Drosophila melanogaster: one gene and its partner. Changing the gene in region 2 together with the main gene of any one other region gives a genetic interaction. Each region holds a gene or a part of one and is shown on either strand. Other genes may lie near its edges. The genes, in order: sit and Npc1a.

Region 1 (7,578 bases), on a different chromosome or scaffold from region 2:
TCACAGTCTACAGCTGTGTATAAAATAATATTTGTATAAAAATTTAATTCAAAGAGTTTTAGCCAAGTTTTAGTCTTAACTTTTGTAGATTTAAACCAATATTTTTCAGTCATGCTTGCAACACATCGAAATTGTTAAGCTTTTTAAGCTTGGCTTTGCAAACTTGAACACCAGATGGCGCCAGCAGCGTGTGAAAAAGCCAAGCTCGGAAATTGAAGTCGGCGGACCGCAAAAAACTTTAATGCGGCCAATTAAACATTTAAGAGCCTCATTTGCAATTGCTGTTAACAATCTTACGACTACAAGTTGCTGTAGGCAGGAAAATAAAGTTCGTTTTATTGGAGTAACTTTGCTGAAATTGTTTGATCATCGGAAATCAATGATTCAACTGTTTGACGCCCTTGAAAGCAGAAAAATCACCAGTTATCATAATTACTTTATAATGTTTTGTCCCATCGCCAATTGAGGGTTCTACAAGCCAAAGACATTTTGCACATTTGATTATTACCCTTGCGACTCAATTTTGTCTACGCAATTTGCCGCGAATATACAAACAAATTCAATAATAATTGTTTAACGGTTTGTTCGCCAGTTTGACTGTTGGCTAAATGTAAATGTTTGCGGAAGATATTTGCATAACTGGCAGCAACCCCTCAGATACATTTATATATACATACATACATACATACATATATATCGAACTCGATCGCATGAATCGTCTGCAGCGACAGCGATAATAAACTAACGTCTTTTGCATACGATTATGATCCGCTTGATGGCTGGTGGCCAAACAAAAGACGAATGCAAATGAAATCCGAAACACCGGAAGAATTTGTCACTGGCTGAGGCGCACACGGCGTATGATTGATTCCTGGCCAACGAAGGGATTCACCCGATCAACCATACGCCCGGTCGACATTCACCCACATCTTATGCAGTCCACTCGGATTCGAACTCGAACTGGTTGGCATAAGCTAATCGGCAAGTTCAAGTTCAATTCGCCGGTGACACAGTTAACATTTCGGTGACCCCAGCCTCAGCCTCTGTTTTTTTTTTTCTCAGACATCGAAGTTCGAAGTCTTGGCCAAAATAGTTGCTATCGGTTTGGTTTCATTAACTTGACCCGGAAGTGGGCCTTAATCGATGCGCTGCGATCATTGTGGGTCGTTAGAATCCGATTCCGAATCTGATTCCGAGCCCTGGGCCCAAAGAATTTGTATGTAAATTGCCAGGTAAATGCGCCGTTTCCTTGAATAAACTTTACAAACACTTTTAACGAAATACTTCTGGCTGTAAACCTTTCCGCTTTATGCCGATAATAGCAATGTTTTAGGCTTGTTTTAAATAGTTTTCAAATTGCTTGTAAAACAGTCTAGGGAATTTCGCTGATTCGCCAAAAAAAAAGGTCAACGAAATTATAAACCACCTACGCAGTTTCAGTTCAGTTCAGTTGGGTTAGGTTCTAAAGTTCATACTGGAGTTAAAGCGTGAATAAGTATTTCAAGTGGGTCAAGGTTACGAAAGCGAATTTGGATGAAGATATAAAAAAAGGGAGAATTACCAGAAACCGAAAACAAAATAGAATGAACATTTCATTCTGAGGCGATTTGAGACTATTTCTAGGGTTTGTTGTCATATTCTGGCTAATGATGAAAGAGCCTAAGGGAATGGATAAATAATACTCTATAATGACTGAATGTTGTTTAAAAAGCTATTAATTGAGAGAAAATGAAAGTATCATTAGGGTACACATACGTATATGTAGAATATATTCTCATTTGATAGAATGTTAGTTTCTGTTTGTTATTAGCAAACTAATCAGAGTTGTCCGCTGGGATTGGCTGTGTTTTCTAAAATAAAAACATTTTACTTTGCAAATGTTTAAATGAATTTTCTGTTTATTAGGTCTTGTTATTCAAATTTCTGGAAGCACGCTCAATGCCATAAATTCGCTATCCTCTAAGTTCTACCGCAATCGCTTTGACCAAATCGATCAAAAGTGACAACTATTCAAGAATATTTTATGATTCTTTTAATTGTACAAAAGGCTGCACAACCAAATACAAAACGAATTAAAAGCCAGACGATTTTGGCCAACAACAGCAACAAAAAGCCGGCAACACGCACACACAACACCAACATTGTTATCGCAATTATCATAGAAAAACGAGACCATACGAGACCATTCGATACATTTTGTGTATGTAGCATATAGCATATAGCGTTTGGAATCCACGAGGCACAAAAGAACATCTTAAAGCTAAAGCTAAAGTCAAAGATGAGGATGAGCAAGATGCCAAATAGCCGAGACAAAAGTTCGGCTAAACAAAAACTAAAGCTGAATCTAAACGCCGAACTGAAGATGAACTGAATACAGATACAGAAACAGATACAGATACAAAAACAAATCGGAAGGCAGAGACGAAGAAACAGCAGTGCCAAATCGAACCTTTAGTCGAAATTTTTATACATAGCGCCGTACAACTCGGCGGAGCAGTTCAGTGCGCGTACAAGTCTCGTGGGTAGCGGATGCCAGCAAAGGTATCTCCCCACTATACAATAATATACCATACTAAACTATACTATACCACACCACACCACATAGTGCCTCATATCAGCCTCATTTGAGCAAGACTAAAGATGGAACAAGACTAAAAAACAGTTGTCACGGTGCTAACATTAAGTTGTCGTCGCTCAAAATTAAGTGCACGGCAATCGAAGAGATTGCAACAGGTGCCCAACAAACCGCTTCATCTGTGTGTGCCAGTGTGTGTGTGTAGATATATCTGAGTGATCAATCAGATCAATCGTTGGAGGCGAGCAGTTATAGAATTCGTGGCTTAGACTGGATTGATACGCTGGTAGAGGTCCCTGAAAGTGAAGTTCTGTAGCTATTCAATCGACAGATCAGCTGACAAGGAAAGGTTTATAAAGTTTGTGCATTTCAATAGTTAGGGTACATATCCTTAAAAATCAACAAAGTATTTCAACACTTAAAAGGCTAGTAAAGATGAGCAAGGATACGCTTGTGTTTACATCTTTCTAAAATTTGCTTAGAAGCACAAGTAGATGATACTTCATATTTTGTATCTTTCACTTCCATGCCTAATATTTAGCTTAGATCAGCAAACTTTTTTTTTTTGCATAGAACAAGTGCCATATGAGGAGTTTAGCGATCTCCACCTGTCAAGGTCATTAAACCAATGCGACACATATTTGATTTTGGCAAAAACAAAACCGCCGTCGTCCAAATTGGGCAATAGGTGACACAATTTTCTATTTGCTCGCTCTAGGTGCTTCCAAGGTTTCCCACATCTCCGGACATTTACCAAATGACTAACCAAGTGGAAATACCCTCAAATTGGCTGGCGATGATCAGCCAGACACGACGGCGTCCAAATGATGCGACATCTTATGGCTTAGATCATAATTCCCACCCATTCCCGAACACACACAAAATAAAAAAGAGCAAGAAACGCATGGCAAGGTCGTAATTCCAACTGAAAATTGATAAACTGGATTTTCTTGGCCAGTATTTTGTGCGGCCAACAAAAGTGTTTAGCACCTTTTGGCTTATGACTGCCATTTGTCGCCTTCCCCCTCAAGATTTTCTGGCCCCATTCTGCGCTAACTGTTGCAGGTAATATTCAAACGGAGCCATAACACCTGAAGTGCAGGAAATGACCGGAGAGCTGAAGCCAAACCTGTTGATGGCTGCTGATAGCCGACTGGAGTGTTGGCCAAGTTGCCCTTCAAAATATCTCCTCAGTCGTTTTTTTTTTTATTTCAATTTGTTCCTCACTTCGCAGACCAAGAAGCCGATCAGAATAGCCTCGAAAACGACGCAAGAAATCATAATGCTATTCGATTATTTTGTGGTCTTAATCGGCCTTAGCCAAGTTCAAGTGTGAGTCGACTTCAAGTCAACGAACGTGAATGCTTGGAATTTAGCATGGGTGCTTGATAGCTCGATGGTTCTCAAATGCCCCCTTTGGAGGAGCAAGTTCTTGGCGATGATTAATCACCGGGAGTACCACTTCACTCTGTCCCACTTTGGACTAAACGACTTCTGTAGAAGATCCCCGAGATCCGTAAGAGAGTGGCAAGCAACAGCTCAAAACCAAACAAACTGCACAACACAAATATAATTTAGCTGGGTGTGCGAGTGGGTTTTATGCGTTCCACACGTGAGGCACTGAGGCACTGCCCAATTTACTTGGGTCTTGTATCTCGGGTCGTGAGGCAACCAACCAACCATGGTATGGGCCATATGGAGTTGAAGTTTTGAGGTGGCCACCAATTTGTTGCGGGCTGTTGTGCGCTGCGGTTGTTTAATTCATAATAATGAATATAATTTACTGTTACTGTTACATGATAATTTCACGGCATTTCACCGTCACCGTCACACATTTGCTATTTGCTATTCTCCTTCGCCTTCGTTTGATTATTATTTTAATTTTATTTAGATTTCTGGGCTCGGCAACAGCAACAGCAAAAGCAATGGCAAAAGCTGTAGCTGAAGCTATAGCTTTGGCATTAGTTGCTCGAGAATCGCATTAACATAACTTAACTACGAAAACTCGAAAAGATCTTTCCCTCATCCAGACTCCCTTCCGATCTTCCCAATTCCATTTAGATTTCGCAAAACTCGTTCGTTGCGACGCAGGCTAAGCAGATTTTTGAATTTCACATCGAAACGATCGTCGCTATATAATCGTATTTGTGGGAGCAAGAGTCCAACGAGGAGAATTTAAAAATGGCAGCCGTCAACGCAACACAGGTGGACTATTGGAATTTTCTGTTCACCGATCTGGCAGGTGAGTTGGATGGGGAGGGGAACTACCTGTGCCGCATATAGATGCTGATCAAATCCCTGATATTCCCACGCAGATCCCCGCACCAATGACTGGTTCCTGATCAAGTCGCCACTGCCCCTGCTGGGCATCCTGGCCTTCTATCTCTTCTTCGTGCTGTCCTGGGGACCCAAGTTCATGAAGGATCGCAAACCCTTCAAGCTGGAACGCACCCTGCTCGTCTACAATTTCTTCCAGGTAGCCCTCAGTGTTTGGATGGTCTACGAGGGCGTGGTCATCTGGCAGTACTACAGCTGGCGGTGCCAGCCGGTTGATTGGTCCCGCACACCCAAGGCGTATCGTGAGGCGCGCGTCGTCTATGTCTACTATCTGGCCAAGATTACCGAGCTGCTGGACACCATTTTCTTTGTGCTGCGCAAGAATGACCGACAGGTGACCTTCCTGCATGTCTACCATCACACGGTGATGCCCATGATCAGCTGGGGCACCAGCAAGTACTATCCCGGCGGACATGGCACCTTCATTGGCTGGATCAACTCCTTCGTGCACATTATCATGTACTCCTACTACTTCCTCTCCGCCTTCGGACCCCAGATGCAGAAGTATCTGTGGTGGAAGAAGTACATCACCAACCTGCAGATGGTAAGAACGCTTTATACGCTATCCATAGATATCTGTAGTATTTCAATTTGAGGGGTTATAAGAGGTTTATTACTTGCTTTGCTAATGACTTCATCTTAGAACTAAATAGGAAAGCACTTAAGTGGAAAATATTCAAATGTATTCTTTGATTTTAGGGCTGCACTTAAAAGTGATATATAGTTTTATTTTGTTGTGAGATACTAGAGCTCTACAACCATTTCATTTTAAAATTATCTAGATTAGTATAAGTACAAAACAGATAGATTCAGAAATAGATAGCACCTCATTCTTCCTTATCGATAGCTCTTAATGGTCTCCCGATTTTACGATTATTCTTACAGATCCAGTTCTGCTGCGCCTTCATCCACCAGACGCAGCTGTTGTACACGGATTGTGGGTATCCCAGGTGGTCGGTGTGCTTTACCCTGCCCAACGCGGTGTTCTTCTACTTCCTGTTCAACGACTTCTACCAGAAGTCCTACAAGAAGAAGCAGGCTGCTGCCAAGGAGAAGGCTCTGTCGGCGGATAACAATAATGATGGATGTGCCAAGGACCTCAACAAGGCAATTCAGCTGCAGCAGGAGAAGCAGAAGGCCTTGTAAGAGGGAGGAGCACAAACACCCACCGCCACCCACCCACACACACCACCCTCAACACACAAAACCCCTTCAATACTCGTACAAAAGGGCGGGTAGAAACACCCACTGAGAGCCACCCATGTTCTATGTGCAACCTTGTTGACTAATTTCTTAAGTAATCCGCCGCCAAATAGACGTGAAGCACGAAAAAAAAAAGAAAATCAGAAACGAGACGAATAGATATTTGAGCAAATGAGGTTTTCGAGACACAGATACACATATTATGTAAATGTAAATGTAAATGTTCAAACAGTTGAAATTGCTTTTTGCCGCCATCGTCATCATCATCGCTCGCTCCGTTTGAAGTTCGCCATCGTGTCGGGCGGACCCAAATGAAAGAAGTCGTATGTCTTTCGGCCAAAACTGAAACTGAACTAAGTTAAGTAAACAGGCAGAAGAAGCGTTAGTTGTGTAAATAAGTGTAGGTACGCATGCGAATGTGTTTTCTTTAGATTTTATATACGTGTGGTATGTAAAGTAGGCATTAAACAAGTGAAAAACTAGCTAATAACGAAACCATAAATACAAACACAATTTACAAATAAATCTAGAATTTTTTCTACAAAAATATCGTAAAAAAACAATGAGCCTTATTCTTTATCTTATGAATGGGAAATTAACGGAAGTGAGAACTGACACTCCTAGTGTCAATATACTGAAAAAGATCTCAACTTTGCTTTTATGGGAATTTTTCATATAAATCTGTTTTTATGTATCGTATATTTGTCAAAAAAGTCTGACATTTTTAATTAATAGATCACTTTATCAGGATCATGTACCCCATACTATTTCTTTATAGTTTGAATGATCTTGTTTTCAATACATTTAAAAGTTTTTTCCTTTTGACGCAATAATATATTATACTTTTAAATGAATTACTTTTCATTTAAAGAAATAATGAATTAATGCAATTGGCCTTGAAAACATTGCATATTCAAGCATTTCCTGTAATCATTTGTGTTCATTCAACTTGTATTTATGGTTTCAAGCCACTTTAATGGTATATTTGTCTTTTCGACAACATTGGGGTATCTCCCAAAGAGCAATCACACCCATTTGCATCCCAATCTAGCCATTCATGATCTCAGTAAGCCTCAGATAAATCGCACGAGGTAACCTTTGCTCAAGGAACCAACTCAAATCGATTGACCAGCTGATATATGTATGTATAACCAAGAACCTATTCATTCAGCAGCGGAAGCCAAAATGATTTAAATTTGAATGGGCGTGGCTAGTACAACTGGTCTATGGGGTGATGATCTGGACACGATCGGTTCATGAATTTTTACGAGACTCTGGAAAGACGACCACTTGGCCACTCATTAGAGCTCATTTCGCAGGCACCTTGAACGGCGGCGACGGAGGAGATAAGATTTTGATAAATTCCGCAGCCTTTTATTGATCAATCAGTCAAGACGGAACGCAACTGAAGCGGAAGTGAAAACGCATCTTCGAGTGGGGTTGCGGCCATCCGATGTGCGGAT
Region 2 (8,931 bases):
CCAAAGTAGGGATTTGACGAAAGTCCAGCTACAAGATCGGGCAAAGTCATCTTGTCTGCAAAAACCGAGAACAAGGATCAACGTTTAATTAAAGTGTTTTACTCTTTTTCGGCAATAAAACCCTATAAAACAACACCTGTTGCTTAATCTATCATCCAAAACATGGGTTCCTCCTGTAAACAATGGTACATCTTTTCGAAGCAACTTTTTAAACAAATAAAACTGAAGTCTAACATATACTGTTTACGTGCGCTTCAGCAAAGGCACCAACAATTTTATTTTCTCATGAGAAAACCATGTAATTTTATTATTTAAATCAACCATTTGCCATCACTCTCGTTATGTAATTAATTGTAATTTAGGTGTGAGCAAATAAATATACAAGTTGCCGCTGAAGTGGCACATTTTATTTGGCATAAAAACCATCTTAGAGGATAACTTGTCATTCACTAAAAGCAATCAACATTTTTTTATAGTAGAAATGTTTCAATACCGGCATTGATAAATATTTTTAATCCAACAGTGTGACCGAACTGTGAAATCGGAAAAATGCAAATAAGTTGGGAAAACTTATATCGAAAAACCAATATTTAATAAATACTATAAATAAATAATAAATGAAGGTTTAAAATTAAAATCAAAAAATTTTACCCATAACATTGATTTTTTGTATTCATTTATTCAGTTTGTTCCGTTTTAGGATCTATGCAAATGCATGAACAATTTTATTGTATCCTTGAATCTTACATTTTTAATGGTTAAGATGCTTTCATAGCCCTATAAATGCCTATGGACGCTGCTCGGTTGCAACCAGGACTTCTGGGTCGCGTGGTCCGGCTGCTGGTTCCTCTGGGGGGGATGGGCGATCATCGTCATCGTCGTTCCTGGGCGTATCATTGTCATTCTCTTTGGCAATCGCCACATGCTTGGCGCTGTCTTTATTAGAGAGAATTGTGAATGGCTGGTCTTTGCCGACGATGGCCACAGTGATGTCCTGCAAGAAAAACACAATTTACTAACTATTCGCGACGGGAAATGTGCAATGAACTTACATACTGACCGGCATCTTTGCCTTGCTCATCCGTAGGCAGGGTACCGAGTATAGCGCGAATTCCGTGACGGATGATTTCATCTTTGGAACTGTCCAAGAACTTGTTCAAATTCTTCTCCAGATAGGTGCGTGCACTCTGTGAACGCGATCCGATCGAATTGGCCTTGCAATTGAAAAAGGTCGCCGATGGCGTGACCTGATAGATGTGCGGACCCCTCTCATCGTAGCCGGCGACCAAAAGGCCCACTCCATACGGACGGCGATCGTAGCGCTGAGTGGTCGTCTGCATCTTGTTGCCCAGGTTAGTGATCAGACGCGAGACTGGATAGGTTGTATCGTACGAGTGCTTGTAGTTCAGGCACTCGGAGCGCAAGTACCGGCTAAGGACGCGGGCATCAGCCGTGAGGCCAGCAATGGAAATGCCCAGGTGATCGTCGATTGGGATGATCTTGCGCTGGGTATCCGATAGCTCCGATGTCGGCTTACACAGGGCGACAAGTACAGCGTAATCTTTATTTTTCAGGCCCACGGTTGCGGTGCCAAGTTTCACGGCCTCCATTGCGTACTCCACCTGGTGGAGACGTCCCTGCGGACTCCACACAGTAACATCGCTATCGTACTGGTTGCGAAACTGAAAGCAAAGATGTGAGTTTGTAACAAATGCAGTTAGCACACCATTATTCGCAATAAACACTTTACCATGACTTTTGAAATGCAAGCCGCTGAGCTCAATGATGACAAGTAGAAATGCCCGATAGTTAGTTATGGCACGCCGGGAGACACAAACAAACTGTGTATCGGGTATCGATAAGGGATTCGGGCATGCTATCATTTTTGGAACGATGCAATAGAACATTGTAGGATATGCATACAAATTTAAGGGGATAATGATATTAATTATAATCAGTAAACTTGTATGAGCACCTTGTTAATCGTAGTTAAATTAATTCCAGCACCACATTATACCTGACTACACACGTTTAATTGACCAACAATTACAGCATACCATGTGAGTAATACAATTTTAAACTATAACGGCTTATCGGGACTTAACTAACAATTAAGTTATATTTAGTTTAATTTATTAACTGCATACTTAAAAAATTAAATGAATTTCTTGTTCCATTCGCTTGTTCCCAACTTGCATTCGGAATCACTGCATATCGACTACAATCGATTGTTTTGCCATTAAGTCTGATAAGCTGTCAGTGGGAGTGTTTACGTTTTAATTGTATATTTCAGTTAGTTTTCACTCTCTCCTGTTTTGGGACCGAGGGTTTGTAGCTCCGTAATCGGATTGTTTGTCGAGGGTATATGCTCGCCTATATATATACCTCCACTCGAAAGTGTTAGCATCAAAATTGCATTGTTAAGATTAGTAGAAAGAAAGATTTTCGTGCGCACCTTAATCATAAAGCCGTGTAATTTAATTAACTGAAGGAATTAACTAAGGTGACTTCATTGCACACACACATACACACAAACCGCTACATACATATGTACACCTCATAATATCCCTATATACGTATGTGCACGAACAAAGAAAACATTTTTATTGGTTCGGCGCATTACTAATGTTTACAATTAACGATTTCTGTGAAAGTGATAGTATACTTATATTGCGTGCCCTTCAATGCGGCTACTGTTCGCTGTCCGTATTCCCATATCTTCGCTACAAGATTGCTTTATTCCGTGACATCCGCTTAGCTACATATCCAAATAGCGCAAAATAAATATATAAATAAAACATCGTGAATGGACCAGCACAGAATATTTCAATCCGCTGATCATATCCCATTCCCGATGCCATTTACCAAATGCGACTGACCACCAGCCAAATTTGCATGTGGCGAAGGGAAAAAAGGCAATCGAAGCGGTTGTGTCGATTTCCCAAGAAGTTGTACATAGTACGTAGCGAGCGAGCATAATGGAATTTCCCCCTCCATAAAATCAGACAACTAGTTGCATCATCACTTTCTCAGTAGTCGTTTAGTATTGTAGATACATATAACGAAAGCCAGTTAACGACAATGCGTTTTAGCGCGAAATTTAACGTATCAATGTCAAAGACCAAACCCGACTTATGTATGTAGCTCCATGCCCAGCTACCTTGTTAACCTAGCTAGTCGGTATCAAATGGTCTCAGTGTTCGTGGATTCACTCTATATTGACCATTGGGTCACAATTCTTGAACTGCTCTTAATGGATCACGAGTTTTTTGGATATTAAAACGCATTTTGTGTCAATTAGCACACAAATCATAGGTGTACGATTTCGAAAACTATTTCAATTCTTTTTGTCATGCATTTTTTATAGAATATTTTCAGTATACAAGATAGTAAAATCATTCATCTTTTTTTTTAAATACGAATGCAATTGTTTAGATTTATCTTAAATTTATTTTAATACATATTCTAGTTTGATTTTTATGACACAAAGTCATAAAGATTTATAAATATTAATTTATTAAAAGTTTAACCATCGTTTTGTCAAAATTCCGCTATTAATTTTAGCATTCTTAGAAATTTTGAATAATATTTTATTAATTCATATTCATGCCTAACAAAACATGTGGTATTTTTGAAAATTTTACTAACATTTTTCTTTGTAAATACAAAACATTTTGGCAAATAAAAGTTAAACAAATTCGAAACAAACGCAATCTTTTATTTTGGTATATTTGGTTTTCATATCGGTATATATTATTTTAATGAGTGGAGGGATTATCCGAAATTCTAAACCACCCAACCATATAATGTGCACTGTTTTGATTACATTATAATTTCGAGTATTTGATTACACCATTCAGCAATATATATTGACTGAAACTGAATGGATATTGAAGCGTGGCAATGAATCAGTTTTATTGTTATTCTTTCCTTAGGAGGCAGTTCTATTATTAGGAATACTGCTTATCGAATTGCAGCGCATCTGCAGAGTCTAAACAACAATTTAATCGCCAGATATCGCAATTGCGAGTTGCAAGTGTTCCAAAACTCACTTCGTTGTATATTTTGTATATATATATTTGGTTTGCTGGAATAAATGTTTATTTAATTCGTTGGAAAACGGTTTCATCTGGCTAAACGCAAATTTGCATGAAGTGTACTTTATTTGTGTAAGCGAAAACGTTGAATTTGCCAGGCTCGGATTACATTTGATTCAGTTCTTAGTCGAAAACCGAGACTCTTACTTCGAATATCATACATAATAGTAAGCCCAGGTGCATACTTTAACCAAAAACGTTCTTTACAGATATGCGATTGTGATAGAATGAGTCCAAGATCCCCGCTCAGGATATCTCCATTTGGAGTACACATCCTCATCGCTGCTGTGCTCTTTACGCTAATTCAATCATCGAAACAGGTAAACTAACATTTGGTTTTTATCATTAAATTTCAATATTTTATCAATATTAAGCATACTGGGTTTTTAATCGCGCAGATTAGTCGTCGTAAAATCATTTCTGAAAATGGACTGGTAAATTGTATTGGAAAAGCTGTTGTTTCACCTCAACAATGAATGAGCTAAAACAGATGCAAGGCAATTAGAAAAAATATATATTTTTATAGCTCTGGGTGGCGGTGAGATGACGTACTTAGTTTTGGAAGTAATATTTAAATTTGAAAAAGGTATTTGGGGTCAGCAAAAAGATAGCTAAAAACCAGACTTCAACTTAGCTTAGCTCACTCTACATATCTCTGCTCTATAATGTTATTAACTTATTTTGCAACTTTTTAAGGACTGCGTTTGGTATGGCGTGTGCAACACCAATGACTTTTCGCACAGCCAAAACTGTCCGTACAATGGAACAGCGAAGGAAATGGCAACTGACGGTCTGGAGCTGCTGAAGAAACGCTGTGGATTTCTGCTGGAGAATAGCGAAAACAAATTTTGCTGCGATAAGAATCAGGTTATGAGTAGCATTAGCTTTGCCCAGGCGTCATAATTATCAAACAAATGCCTTTGCAGGTGGAGCTCCTTAATAAGAATGTGGAGCTGGCCGGAAATATCTTGGATCGATGTCCATCCTGCATGGAGAACTTGGTGCGGCACATCTGCCAATTCACCTGTTCACCAAAGCAGGCTGAGTTCATGCATGTGGTGGCCACGCAGAAAAATAAGAAAGGTAATCATTATTAATAGCTTATTAATTATTGAATAATTATATATTCCGAATTTCAGGTGATGAGTACATAAGTTCTGTTGACTTGCATATATCAACGGAATACATCAACAAGACTTATAAATCGTGCTCTCAGGTACTTCTGGATTCCATATACATTATTCATTGATCGAAAATAATTATTGTTTGTGTTCAAATAGGTTTCTGTACCGCAAACGGGTCAATTAGCTTTTGATTTAATGTGCGGCGCTTACTCAGCATCTCGCTGCAATCCTACAAAATGGTTCAACTTTATGGGCGATGCCACCAATCCATATGTTCCTTTTCAAATTACCTATATTCAACATGAGCCCAAATCAAATAGCAATAACTTTACGCCCCTCAATGTAACGACCGTTCCTTGCAACCAAGCAGTTAGCGTATGTACCTACTATCCTTATTGGAAATTCATTTCATTTTGTGCTAAATATATAAATTGCTTGTAGAGCAAACTACCTGCGTGCTCCTGCTCGGACTGCGACCTATCCTGTCCCCAGGGACCGCCGGAACCGCCCCGTCCAGAGCCCTTCAAAATTGTTGGACTCGACGCCTATTTCGTCATCATGGCAGCTGTCTTCTTGGTGGGAGTCTTAGTATTCTTAATGGGCTCGTTTCTGTTTACACAAGGTTCGTCCATGGGTGAGTTTTACGCAGTTAAATTATTCGTCACTAGTTTCATATCTGAATGTTAAGTGTACTTCAAATTACACTTTCTGTGTGAATAATTTGCAAAACTCATGAATGAATGAATGAATGACCATTTTAGTAGCTTGAAATATAATGAATTTCCCTATTTCAGATGACAACTTTCAAGTGGATGGCAATGATGTTTCCGATGAAATGCCCTACAGCGAGAATGATTCATACTTTGAAAAACTTGGCGCCCACACAGAAACTTTCCTGGAAACATTCTTCACCAAATGGGGAACGTACTTTGCTAGCAATCCTGGCTTGACTTTAATTGCCGGAGCATCCCTGGTTGTTATACTGGGGTATGGCATCAACTTTATAGAAATCACAACGGATCCGGTTAAACTTTGGGCTTCGCCGAACTCAAAATCCAGACTGGAGAGAGAGTTTTTCGATACGAAGTTTTCGCCATTCTATAGGCTGGAACAGGTAAGCTTTTGAGATATAATGGTTTTTTTTGCATAATCGTAATCTTTATCTATCTTGTAGATAATCATCAAAGCTGTGAACTTGCCACAGATTGTGCACAACACCTCGAACGGCCCATACACCTTCGGTCCCGTCTTCGACAGAGAATTTCTAACAAAAGTGTTGGATCTGCAGGAGGGCATCAAGGAAATTAACGCAAATGGCACACAGCTGAAGGATATATGCTACGCGCCTTTGTCGGATGATGGCAGTGAAATCGATGTGTCCCAGTGCGTTGTCCAATCGATTTGGGGATACTTTGGCGATGATCGAGAAAGATTGGATGACCACGACGAGGACAATGGATTCAATGTAAGTCAAATATACTTCAATAGATTTGCTATCAGGTTCGAATTCGGTTTTATTCATAGGTTACCTATTTGGATGCCTTATACGATTGCATTAGCAATCCCTATTTATGCCTAGCTCCTTATGGCGGTCCCGTAGATCCAGCCATAGCACTTGGAGGATTCCTGCCACCTGGAGACCAACTGACTGGCAGCACGAAATTTGAGTTGGCCAATGCGATCATTCTGACATTCCTGGTCAAGAATCATCATAACAAAACCGATTTGGAAAATGCCTTAACGTGGGAGAAGAAATTCGTGGAGTTTATGACCAACTATACGAAGAACAATATGTCGCAGTACATGGACATAGCCTTCACATCGGAGAGATCGATAGAAGACGAGCTCAACAGGGAGTCCCAGTCGGATGTGCTGACTATTTTGGTGTCCTACCTAATTATGTTCATGTACATAGCGATTTCGCTTGGCCATGTCAAGGAGTTCAAGCGAGTGTTTATCGACAGTAAGATAACGCTTGGCATAGGCGGTGTCATCATTGTTTTGGCCTCGGTAGTGTCGTCCGTTGGCGTTTTCGGTTACATCGGTTTGCCGGCCACCCTGATCATTGTCGAGGTCATACCGTTTTTAGTATTAGCTGTCGGAGTGGATAACATTTTTATTCTGGTCCAAACTCATCAGCGCGATCAACGCAAACCCAATGAAACGCTTGAGCAGCAAGTTGGTCGAATACTCGGCAAGGTTGGACCCAGTATGCTGCTCACCTCGTTGAGTGAAAGCTTTTGCTTCTTTCTCGGTGGCCTTTCTGATATGCCAGCCGTAAGGGCTTTTGCCCTATACGCCGGCGTAGCCCTCATCATTGATTTTCTATTGCAAATAACCTGTTTCGTTAGCCTATTTACGTTGGATACGAAGCGCAGGGAGGAGAATCGTATGGACATTTGTTGTTTCATCAAGGGCAAGAAGCCGGATAGTATAACTAGTAATGAGGGACTCTTGTACAAATTTTTCAGTAGTGTTTACGTCCCATTTCTGATGAAGAAAATTGTGCGCGCCAGTGTGATGGTCATCTTTTTTGCCTGGCTGTGCTTCAGCATTGCCATTGCGCCACGAATCGACATTGGGCTGGATCAAGAGTTGGCTATGCCGCAGGATAGTTTCGTCTTGCACTATTTCCAATCGTTGAACGAGAATCTCAACATTGGTCCACCAGTGTACTTTGTGCTGAAGGGCGATCTAGCCTATACGAATAGTTCGGATCAGAATTTGGTGTGTGCAGGTCAATATTGCAACGATGACAGCGTACTCACGCAGATCTACTTAGCCAGTAGGCACTCTAACCAAACGTATATCGCGCGTCCAGCATCCAGTTGGATCGATGACTACTTCGATTGGGCGGCAGCAGCATCATCCTGTTGCAAATATAGAAAGGATAGCGGCGACTTTTGTCCGCATCAGGGTGAGTTTTGACCTAATCCATAGTTGAGCATAGAAAATATCTAATAACATTTCGTTCATATTTCAGATACTTCCTGTTTGAGGTGTAATATCACGAAGAATTCACTTCTTAGGCCGGAGGAAAAGGAGTTTGTTAAGTATTTGCCATTTTTCCTGAAGGACAATCCCGATGACACGTGCGCCAAGGCCGGTCATGCCGCCTATGGCGGAGCTGTTCGGTATTCCAACAGCCATGAAAGACTGAACATCGAGGCGTCGTATTTTATGGCATACCACACCATACTTAAGTCCTCGGCCGACTACTTTCTGGCCCTAGAGTCGGCTAGAAAGATATCCGCGAATATTACGCAAATGTTGCAGGGCAGACTAATGTCAAATGGAGTTCCTATGGCATCGGCCCTTACGGTCGAAGTGTTTCCATATTCAGTATTCTATGTGTTTTACGAACAATATCTGACCATGTGGTCGGATACGCTACAGAGCATGGGTATTTCAGTTCTTTCCATATTCGTTGTTACATTTGTTTTGATGGGCTTCGATGTTCATTCCGCATTAGTTGTTGTCATAACGATAACTATGATTGTTGTTAATTTAGGTGGCCTTATGTATTATTGGAACATTTCGTTGAATGCTGTTTCGTTGGTGAATCTCGTCATGGCCGTCGGCATATCCGTGGAATTTTGTTCGCACTTGGTGCACAGCTTCGCCACATCGAAATCAGTTAGTCAAATTGATCGAGCTGCAGATAGCCTTTCCAAAATGGGTAGCTCCATTTTCTCCGGAATCACTTTAAC

What was found.
Region 1: of Npc1a (region 2) and sit, changing one suppresses a phenotype caused by changing the other (phenotypic suppression), as found in Drosophila melanogaster (one study listed by BioGRID).

What each region holds. Positions count from the first base shown.
Region 1 is NT_033777.3:22,557,488-22,565,065, reverse strand, and holds sit (stuck in traffic), read left to right. Parts: upstream 1-2,493; 5' UTR 2,494-2,541; intron 2,542-4,636; 5' UTR 4,637-4,756; coding exon 4,757-4,817; intron 4,818-4,890; coding exon 4,891-5,456; intron 5,457-5,797; coding exon 5,798-6,058; 3' UTR 6,059-6,724; downstream 6,725-7,578.
Region 2 is NT_033779.5:10,214,265-10,223,195, reverse strand, and holds the start of Npc1a (Niemann-Pick type C-1a), read left to right. Parts: upstream 1-2,243; 5' UTR 2,244-2,327; exon of another isoform or gene 2,328-3,317; intron 3,318-4,306; 5' UTR 4,307-4,324; coding exon 4,325-4,417; intron 4,418-4,793; coding exon 4,794-4,964; intron 4,965-5,023; coding exon 5,024-5,180; intron 5,181-5,236; coding exon 5,237-5,313; intron 5,314-5,377; coding exon 5,378-5,596; intron 5,597-5,662; coding exon 5,663-5,855; intron 5,856-6,015; coding exon 6,016-6,335; intron 6,336-6,395; coding exon 6,396-6,686; intron 6,687-6,745; coding exon 6,746-8,138; intron 8,139-8,204; coding exon 8,205-8,931. Other genes in the region: Bcs1 chaperone, read right to left, coding at 1-50; Prosalpha6 (proteasome alpha6 subunit), read right to left, coding at 788-994, 1,053-1,682, 1,751-1,753.